Linked DNA regions of Macaca mulatta. The protein of the gene in region 1 purifies or fractionates together with the protein of each later gene. This does not show direct contact. Links are inferred from orthologs where the notes say so. Each region holds a gene or a part of one and is shown in the gene's direction. Other genes may lie near its edges. The genes, in order: SNRPA, SF3A2 and SRPK2.

Region 1 (3,751 bases):
GGGTAGAGAAGGAGATGGAATGCTGCTGGCTTGGGGTACAGGGGTTCTTGGAGGAGGGATTGGTGGCTTTACGGGAGGAGAGCATGGAGAAGTCATTTTGGGGTCTACAGGAGGGGCTGAGAGGTTCAGAAGGTGGGGAGGGAAGGATCCTCCAACGGAGAACAGTCTCAGGGATGGAAATTTTAAAAATTTACGAGCTGAGTTCCAGAATCTGGGGGCTGAGCAGTGGGTGTGAAAGGACCACAGCTAATATTTGAAACCATGGGAGCAGGAATTGAGGGTGACTCAAGTCATAAGGCACCTGACAGTTAACAGGGTGGGGTCCTTAAATCCGGAACCGGATCTGTGGTACCGGTTGGGTTACCTTGGGAGTCTTAGGTGGACAGTCAGTAGGAGTTAACTCATTCTTTGGGGCTAGATGTGGAAACACATGAGTAAGTTTGGGATATGAAGGCTCAGACCTAAAGTGAGGTGCCTTAAGGGTGCGACTTAGGAGCCCAGGGCTAAAGATTCGGAGAACTTAGGTTCACTACCCCCTCACATCCCAGGCCCGAGTTTGGAACCTTTGGGCTGACCTTTGAGTCAGAGGTCAAGAGGTCAAAATGGACACCTGGCAGGAAAAACGGCCTAGTTGTGGAGAAGGTCCCGGAACCAGAGCAACAAAAACGTCTGTGGGTTGGAGAAGACTCAGAGATCAGAGGCCGGTGGGCGCCGTGATAACCGGTGGAAAAGGGAAGGGAGTCAGGAAGTAAGGTACACCTCCCACTCCCAGAAAATGGCGGCCCCCGCACACTGCTTTTCCCATATCACGGAGTATCACACGCAACAGTGCCCGCCCATTTGGCGATCACGTGACAGAAAACGCAGCGCTGGGGGGAAGAGGCGGGACTTCAAAAAGGATTGCCTCCGGAAGACATCACAGCGCCAGACGCGTCCCGATTGGCAAAATACTAGTGACCTTTACTGATTGGTCCGTAGACCCGGGAGTCACGGAAGGAGGTGGGCTTTCAGGGAGTCGGGCGGGGTTTTTCTACCTAGGCGGGAACTCAAATATCATTTTGATTGGCAAGAGCTGAGCCCAGAAACGAGACTTGCTCTGATTGGTCAAGCTACTGCGTTTCCGCGCGGAGATTGCCTGGCAGAAAGGCAGGGGCGGTGCCAGGAGAGAAAGCTTCGTGGTTTGGTCTCAGGAAAGTAGCAGGCGCCGCTTGAGAGAACTGCGGTCCTGTCGGAAGGTAACCTGGGGTGCAAACGACCATCGGCGGCGGGCGAGCGGTACGCTTGGCGTCCGGGCCTTCCTGGGCCCGTCTGAGGAAACTTGCTGCTCGAGGCCAGGCTGCCCAAGACCTGTCCCCTTTTTTCTATACTGGCTCCCACATCCGGGTTTTTCTCCAGGACGGCCCTTCGGATGCATGGGCCAATGGGAGTCGCCATTTAGGGCGCTCCGCCCACGGGGTCGCGTAGAGCATCCTGGAAGTCGTAGTAAATCTCTCGAGAGTTCCCTCTGCACGCGTGCTGGAGAAGCGGGTCCTACGCACGCTTTGTTGCCCGCGCTTTCCCTCGGTCCTTCCCCCTACTCCCGCCTTACCTGACTTCCTTTTGGGAGGAAGATCCTTGAGCAGCCAACGGTGGGACAAAGGATTTGGCGAAACCCAGGGCTAAAGTCACGTTTTTCCTCCTTTAAGCCTTACCTCAACACTTCACTCCATGGCAGTTCCCGAGACCCGCCCTAACCACACTATTTATATCAACAACCTCAATGAGAAGATCAAGAAGGATGGTGAGTTCTCGGGATAGTCCGGACTCCAGACTGTCCCGCACGGGCTGGTCCCTCTTCCACCCCCTGCATCCGCTTCTCTTTCTTAAGTGTTCCTCCAGCCAAACTTCGAGTTAACCCCTTGGCCTTTACACAAACTACTTCCTGTCTTCAACACTCCATTAGTTCATCTTACACTCTGCCCTTTAACCTGGTCACTGTTGCTCATCTTACAAGGTTTGAGGTCACAGGACCCTTCCTCCAGGAAGCCTTCCCTTGTCCCTTCACGTGGCTGCCGCTGACTTCCCATACGCTGAGGCCATCTCCCATCACGCCCTGATTCCTCTGAGCTGTCGTGGGGCTCTCTCTCCTCCCAGTGGCCTTTGAGCTCCGTGAGGGCAAGGACTGGGGCTTTCTTGGGTCACCGGCTTTTTCAGTGATCAGCTCACAATGAAAATGTACCGTAATGGTGGCTAATGCTCTGTATCATGGGTTAGTCTATGTGCTTTTATATAAATGTTGATTACATTTAGTTCTTACAACAAGCTTGTAGGAAGAAGGCTGTTGTTATTCCCATTCCTCAACTAACAAACTGAGGCAGGGCGCGGTGGCTCACCCCTGTAATCCCAGCACTTTAGGAGGCCGAGGTGGGCGGATCACCTGAGGTCGGGAGTTCGAGACCAGTCTGACCAACATGGAGAAACCCTGTCTCTACTGAAAATACAAAATTAGCCAGGCCTGATGGTGGCACATGCCTGTAATCCCAGCTACTCTGGAGGCTAAGGCAGGAGAATCGCTTGAACCCGGGAGACGGAGGTTGCAGTGAGCCGAGATCACACCATTGCAGTACAGCCTGGGCAACAAGAGCGAAACTCCGTCTCAAAAAAGAAAGGAAAAGAAACTGAGACAGGGTGATGTGACTTGCCCAGGGTCACATAGCAAGTAAAGTGGTTGAAGCCACCGGTATAGAATTCTGCTTAAGAACCCAATTTTTGGCCGGGCGTGGTGGTTAAGCCTAACACTTTGGGTGGCAGAGGCAGGAGGATCACTTAAACACAGGAGTTCAAGATCAGCCTGGGCAACAAAGCGAGACCTTGTCTCTACAAAAAAAAAAAAAAAAAAAAAGGCTGGGCGTGGGTGGGGTGTGTCTGTGGTCCCAGCTACTCAGGAGGCTGAGGTGGGAGGATCGCTTGAGCTAGAGAGGTTGAGGCTGCAGTGGGCTATGATTGCACCACTGCACTGCAGCCTGGGCAGAGCAAGAACCTATCTGAAAAAAGGAAAAAAAAAAAACTCAGTTATTGAAATGGGAAAGACCGTCTCACGTTCTCAAGTAAATTATCACCTTTATTGAATCTCATTTTCTACATCTAAAAACTGAGCAAAATCATAATACCTTTTTTGCATGGATGTTGGGTGAGATTAAATTAGCTAAACCTTGCAGTATTTCTTTTTTATGTTAACTGGCAGCTAGTAAGGGCTGGATAAATGTTAGCTCTTATCACTTCAAGAAAATTGTCAGGAGAACCGAAGGAGCTTACTGGGATTCAGTTTGAGGTCACCAGTGAAGTTGCTCTTGAAGAAAGCAAAACCAGCAGCCGGGGCACTGGCTCACGCCTGTCATCCCAGCACTTTGGGAGGCTGAGGTGGGAGATCGTGTGAGGTCAGGAGTTCAAGACCAGCCTGGCCAAGATGGTGAAACCCCGTGTCTAGTAAAAATACTTTGGGAGGCTGAGGTGGGAGATCGTGTGAGGTCAGGAGTTCAAGACCAGCCTGGCCAAGATGGTGAAACCCCGTGTCTACTAAAAATCAGCTGGGTGTGGCAGCGCACATCTATAGTCCCAGCTACTTGGGAGGCTGAGGCAGGAGAATCACTTGAACCCTGGGAAGCAGAGGTTGCAGTGAGCTGAGACTGCACCACTGTACTCCAGCCTGGGTGATAGAGACTCTCAAAAAAAGATAAAATAAAACAAAACCAGGAATGTAAATTTTGCATAT
Region 2 (3,651 bases), about 49 Mb from region 1:
ACAGCACAGCCTCCGTGACTCAAGGGGAAGAGTGCCAGGAGATGAGAGGAGGCTGCCTGTTGGGGACTCAGCAGAGCCCTCCTGCGCCACAAGCAGATGTGACCGATCTCCCGGATGTTACCCAGTCAGGACACAAAGATCAGTGTCCTCACCTCCCAATAAGTTTACAGCGAACCCAAGAGATAGAATTAGGCTGGGGATAAGTAAGCGCAGCCAACCAGAGAGGGAGTTCAGAGGAAGGCTTGAACACTGGGGGCTTAGGCAGTCCGGGAAGGCTCCCTGGTGGTGGTGACTCGTTTGTGAGAATTTGGCCTTGTCTTCCCTTTATGCCTTCTCTGGGCTCCCCGCTCCATTTCAGGTCTCCAGGCCTTGGCACTCTGGGCTGGAGTGGCTTCCTCTCCATCCCTCACATACGCTCATTTGGAGACAGGCTCCAGCTTCCCTCGTGTCTGTGCCTGTCCACAGTGGGCCTCGGCCTCCTGGAAGAGACTGGGTGCACTTTGGGGTGGCCCCCTCAGGGCTGGTTAGACCCTGGCTCTGGGAGTGCAGGGTGAGGGGCTGTCACAGGCTCCAGCCTGGTGGCCTGGCCCAGGGAGGTCCCAGCAGCAGCCGTGAGTTCTGAGCCATCCTTCTTTCTCTCCTCTTGGCCTCCACAGGTGTCTCCCGGTCTGCTAAAGCCCCAAGGCCGTCACCATGGACTTCCAGCATCGCCCTGGGGGCAAGACCGGGAGCGGGGGCGTGGCCTCCTCCTCCGAGAGCAACCGTGACCGCAGGGAGCGCCTCCGGCAGCTGGCCCTAGAGACCATCGACATCAACAAGGTGGGCCAGCCACCGTGCAGCCGCCTGTGGCGGGGGCTCGGCTTTCCAGGACAGCCCTGGAGAGGGTGCCAGAGGCTCTTCCTGGGCCTCCACCCAGCCTGGGCGGTGCAGCCCCGTGTCCAGATGCTCCCCTGTTGCCCCGAGTAGCTACAGCTCCCATCTGTCCGCCTTAGAGAGCAGACCCTCTGTGGCTCTGAGCCCCGTGTGAGAGTGTTTTGTTCTGTCCAAAACCTTCTGTTTCGCATCATTTAATTTTCTGGGAGTGGGGAGAGCTTATGTCAGTCCAGCCAGATGTGGTGAAGGGCAGCCTTTGATTTTAGCTTGTGCAGGGGCGGGGATGAGCCGGGTCCCCTCAGCACTGTGGACATCGGGACTGGAGCACTCTCTGTGTACCCTGACACGCCCCACGGACCTGGCCTATGACGAGGGCTCTGTCACTGTCCCTGTCTTCCAGATGACGTCACGGGTGGAGGGGTGCCCCAGCCACAGATGGTGGAGTTAGCCTTTGAACTCCAGCGTCTGAGACGAGAGGCGTGCGCCTGGCTGCCCCGGCTTAGGGCCTGGAGATGGACGGGTCTCTGGGCCTTCAGTGTAGCCCATTTGCTTTTCTTGTGCCTGTGTCTGCCTTGTGCCGACCACTGGTGTGGTGGCGTGGGCAGCGGACAGCTCCCTGCATTGGGAGTGACCAGGAGTGCTGTGCTGACTCTGCCTCCCTCTGACTCAGAACCACCAGGAAGGTGGTGCGGGGGGCTCCCTGGGAACCCCCGCTGCTCAGAGCCTGGGCCACAGCCCCAGGCGGTGACACCTGTGCTCACAAAGGCCTCCCGCCGGATCCCCCGTTTTCAGAAACGCTTGACACCGTCAGGGACAGCCATGCCTGTACAGAAAGGGGATCCTGCGTCTGAGGGCCCTGACCGCAGCAGGCCTCGATCTGTCTAACGGGCGCCTGTTCTTCCCCTCCAGGACCCGTACTTCATGAAGAACCACCTGGGCTCCTATGAATGCAAGCTGTGCCTGACGCTTCACAACAATGAGGTGCGGCCTCTGCCCGGCTCCGGGCAGCTCGCGGCGGGCTGAGTGGCTGACGTCAGGGGGACCTGCCTGTGTCTGTCTGCCCGGCCCGAGTCATGTGTGTTTCCTTTCCACTCCAGGGGAGCTACCTGGCACATACCCAGGGGAAGAAGCACCAGACCAACCTGTGAGTACCCCGTGCCCCTTCGATTCCTGGTGCTCCAGCAGCTGTCGGCTCAAGTCTCTGTGAGCCTCACGGGCCACTGCTCCACGGCCGGGAAGCCAGCCTGGTCTGGGCCTCCCTGGGCGCTGGAGTACGGTTTCTGGGGAGCATTAGAGAACAGAGGCGTGGATGGCTGAGGCGGGCAGATCACTTGAGGTCAAGAGTTCGAGACCAGCCTGACCAACATTGTGAAACTCCATCTTGTGCCGGGCGCGGTGGCTCAAGCCTGTAATCCCAGCACTTTGGGAGGCCGAGACGGGCGGATCACGAGGTCAGGAGATCGAGACCATCCTGGCTAACACGGTGAAACCCCGTCTCTACTAAAAAATACAAAAAACTAGCCGGGCGTGGTGGCGGGCGCCTGTAGTCCCAGCTACTCGGGAGGCTGAGGCAGGAGAATGGCGTGAACCCGGGAGGCGGAGCTTGCAGTGAGCCAAGATCACGCCACTGCACTCCAGCCTGGGTGACAGAGCGAGACTCCATCTCAAAAAAAAAAAAAGAAAAAAAGAAACTCCATCTTTACTAAAAATCTAAAAATTAGGCTGGGCATGGTGATGCACACCTGTAATCACAGCTACTATGGAGGCTGAGGCAGGAGAATCTTGAATCTGGGAGGAAGAGGTTGCAATGAACCGAGATGGCGCCACTGCACTCCAGCCTGGGCGACAGAGCGAGACTCAGTCTTATTTAAAAAAAAAAAAAAGAAGAAAGGCCGAGCGCAGTGGCTCACGCCTATAATCCCAGCACTTTGGGAGACCAAGGCGGGCAGATCACCTGAGGTCAGGAGGGCAAGACCAGCCTGACCAACATGGAGAAACCCCATCTCTACTAAAAATACAAAAAATTAGTCGGGCTTGGTGGTGCATGCCTGTAATCTCAGCTACTGGGGAGGCTGAGGCAGGAGAATCGCTTGAACCTGGGAGATGGAGGTTGCGGTGAGCCAAGATCGCGCCACTGCACTCCAGCCTGGGCCACAAGAGCAAAACTCGGTCTCAAAAAAAAAAAAAAAAAGCAGAGGCATGGAGTTGTTGGTAGGACCCCAGCCAGGGACAGTGAGGAGCATGACAGGAAGAGAACGTGCCTGTCCTATCCCTGTTCTCAGCCAAACCCCAGGGCCCCTCCCAGGCCCCTGGCCCTCCTCATCCCTCAGTTTATAGTGAGCTCCAAGGTCAGGGGGCCCGTGGCCTTGGTGCCTGTGTGTGGAGGGGCCCCAGCACCACGTCCATCCTGCCTGCAGGGCCCGGCGAGCCGCCAAGGAGGCCAAGGAGGCCCCTGCCCAGCCTGCACCTGAGAAGGTCAAGGTGGAGGTGAAGAAGTTTGTGAAGATCGGCCGCCCAGGCTACAAAGGTGAGTGCCCGGAGCGGCGCTGGCCACAGCCGCTGCTGCTGCATGAATAGGTTCTTTGGGCTCCAGTGCAGGAGGCGCAGCCCTGAGACCCTCATTCCTGAGCCGCTGTTTTCTGGCCTTGGTGGCCATCCCTCACCCACCTGCAGCCTCTGGCGTTGTGTCTGGGAGCTGTCAGGCTGAGCCCGATAAGCACCCGTCTCACCCAGCGGCCCCTTTCCCAGCTGAGCCACAGTCTGTGCCCTCCTGTCCGA
Region 3 (2,699 bases), on another chromosome or scaffold:
TTTTCATACTGCAGCTAGTACAGTTTGTGAAATATAACTTCAAGATTTACAAATTAATGTCCTAGGATCTTAGATTTTACAACAAATGCGTAGACATGAATGGTGTTTGATTTGGGTTGGCCTCAAGTTTGCAAATTTTACGAAAGATCCCAGGTTGAAATGAGAGTGGCTTGCTTCAGCCTTTGGAAAAGAAAACACTCTGGGCAAAGTGAGCCCACTCCACTTACTTAAAGAAACTTAGAACTAATGTGAATGAACTATTAATTAACCTCTATTTACATCCACCAGGCTTACTTGAAATATGCCTTGGTCATATGTGCATGTAATGATTACTGCCTAGCGGGGAAAAGCTGGTGTCCTTTGTTGTTGCCGTGTAAGTGTTGAGCAGGTGGTTGTCCGCTTCATTGAAAAGAGCCTGACTGGACCAACAATGGGGAATGCAGATTTGGAGCTTTCTTGACATTGGCCTGTTTTTCCCCCTATAGGAGAACTGCGACACATCACCAAGCTGAAGCCCTGGAGCCTCTTTGATGTACTTGTGGAAAAGTATGGCTGGCCCCATGAAGATGCTGCACAGTTTACAGATTTCCTGATCCCGATGTTAGAAATGGTTCCAGAAAAACGAGCCTCAGCTGGCGAATGCCTTCGGCATCCTTGGTTGAATTCTTAGCAAATTCTACCAATATTGCATTCTGAGCTAGCAAATGTTCCCAGTACATTGGACCTAAACGGTGACTCTCATTCTTTAACAGGATTACAAGTGAGCTGGCTTCATCCTCAGACCTTTATTTTGCTTTGAGGTACTGTTGTTTGACATTTTGCTTTTTGTGCACTGTGATCCTGGGGAAGGGTAGTCTTTCGTCTTCAGCTAAGTAGTTTACTGACCATTTTCTTCTGGAAACAATAACATGTCTCTAAGCATTGTTTCTTGTGTTGTGTGACATTCAAATGTCCTTTTTTTGAATGAAAAATACTTTCCCTTTGTGTTTTGGCAGGTTTTGTAACTATTTATGAAGAAATATTTTAGCTGAGTACTATATAATTTACAATCTTAAGAAATTATCAAGTTGGAACCAAGAAATAGCAAGGAAATGTACAATTTTATCTTCTGGCAAAGGGACATCATTCCTGTATTATAGTGTATGTAAATGCACCCTGTAAATGTTACTTTCCATTAAATATGGGAGGGGGACTCAAATTTCAGAAAAGCTACCAAGTCTTGAGTGCTTTGTAGCCTATGTTGCATGTAGCAGACTTTAACTGCTCCAAGGAGTTGTACAAACTTTTCATTCCATAACAGTCTTTTCACATTGGATTTTAAACAAAGTGGCTCTGGGTTGTAAGATGTCATTCTCTATATGGCACTTTAAAGGAAGAAAATATATGCTTCTCATTCTAAAATATGCATTATAATTTAGCAGTCCCATTTGTATTTTTGCATATTTTTAAAAGTACTTTTAAAGAAGAGCAATTTCCCTTTAAAAATGTGATGGCTCAGTACCATGTCATGTTGCCTCCTCTGGGCGCTGTAAGTTAAGCTCTACATAGATTAAATTGGAAAAGAGAAACGTGTTCATTGTGTGGAATGAAAAAATACGTATATTTTTTGAAAAGCATGATCATGCTTGTCTAGAACACAAGGTGTGGTATATACAATTTGCAGTGCAGTGGGCAGAATACTCCTCACAGCTCAAAGGTAACAGTGATCACATTCATTCCATAGGTAGCTTTACGTGTGGCTACAACAAATTTTACTAGCTTTTTCATTGTCTTTCCATAAAATGAAGTTGAGAAAATGATTTTCCCTTTGCAGGTTGCACACAGTTTTGTTTATGCATTTCCTTAAAATTAATTGTAGACTCCAGGACACAAACCATAGTAGGCAATACAATTTTAGAATGTAATATATAGAGGTATATTTAGCCTCTTTTAGACGTCAGTGGATTGAATGTCTTTTTATTTTAAATTTTACATTCATTAAGGTGCCTCGTTTTTGACTTTGTCCATTAACATTTATCCATATGCCTTTGCAATAACTAGATTGTGAAAAGCTAACAAGTGTTGTAACAATAATCCATTGTTTGAGGTGCTTGCAGTTGTCTTAAAAATTAAAGTGTTTCGGTTTTTTTTTTTCCAGACATTGCCTTGGTCATTGCCCTATAAATGATAGAATCAGTGAACATTTGCTATCAGAGTAGTGTCACTAAAACTAAATACCAGCATTCCTGTTGCAGCAGATGTAGTTGTAAAACATGCATTAAGGCTTATTATAAGGAAATCATTTATTATTTTTTAAGGGCAGAAGGGATTTAGGAGAAAAGCTATAGTATAGATTGATTCTTTAGAATTTCAGTGATCTCTTTTCATCCATGGTTCATCAAAAACATACTGACTGCATTTGTTCGATCATTGCAAACTTAAAACAGCATTTGCTGTTAGGAAACAAGACACATAACCCTCTTAGGAATTACCATTACATCTCATACCACAGTGAGGCAGAATGGATCATTCATTCATTTCTTTATGAAATGTGCATGCTAAGTTTTTCTAATGAGGCTGTAGGTTTCCATGTAAATTCTGTGATAGATAGTGGCTGTAGACTGGTGATACTATCCATGATTTCTGTAAGAAACATCCTTACAAGAACCATAGAGCACAATTTATTTCTTCCCTAAGGGTAAAAGGATTTTTATCAGGGT

What was found.
Region 2: the proteins of SNRPA (region 1) and SF3A2 fractionate together in Homo sapiens (co-fractionation; 3 studies listed by BioGRID and IntAct, with this or other methods). This does not show direct contact. The link is inferred for Macaca mulatta from reciprocal best matches to the Homo sapiens genes SNRPA and SF3A2.
Region 3: the proteins of SNRPA (region 1) and SRPK2 purify together in Homo sapiens (affinity purification with mass spectrometry; 4 studies listed by BioGRID and IntAct, with this or other methods). This does not show direct contact. The link is inferred for Macaca mulatta from reciprocal best matches to the Homo sapiens genes SNRPA and SRPK2.

The regions. Positions count from the first base shown.
Region 1 is NC_133424.1:51,869,858-51,873,608, forward strand, and holds the start of SNRPA (U1 small nuclear ribonucleoprotein A), read left to right. Parts: upstream 1-1,504; 5' UTR 1,505-1,707; coding exon 1,708-1,780; exon of another isoform or gene 1,781-2,374; intron 2,375-3,751. Other genes in the region: ACTMAP (actin maturation protease), read right to left, coding at 1-96. UniProt on the Homo sapiens protein: Component of the spliceosomal U1 snRNP, which is essential for recognition of the pre-mRNA 5' splice-site and the subsequent assembly of the spliceosome. U1 snRNP is the first snRNP to interact with pre-mRNA.
Region 2 is NC_133424.1:2,990,459-2,994,109, forward strand, and holds part of SF3A2 (splicing factor 3A subunit 2), read left to right. Parts: intron 1-656; 5' UTR 657-693; coding exon 694-819; intron 820-1,782; coding exon 1,783-1,854; intron 1,855-1,970; coding exon 1,971-2,017; coding exon of another isoform or gene 2,018-2,046; intron 2,047-3,267; coding exon of another isoform or gene 3,268-3,290; coding exon 3,291-3,400; intron 3,401-3,651. UniProt on the Homo sapiens protein: Component of the 17S U2 SnRNP complex of the spliceosome, a large ribonucleoprotein complex that removes introns from transcribed pre-mRNAs.
Region 3 is NC_133408.1:144,699,781-144,702,479, reverse strand, and holds the end of SRPK2 (SRSF protein kinase 2), read left to right. Parts: intron 1-485; coding exon 486-670; 3' UTR 671-2,136; downstream 2,137-2,699. UniProt on the Homo sapiens protein: Serine/arginine-rich protein-specific kinase which specifically phosphorylates its substrates at serine residues located in regions rich in arginine/serine dipeptides, known as RS domains and is involved in the phosphorylation of SR splicing factors and the regulation of splicing.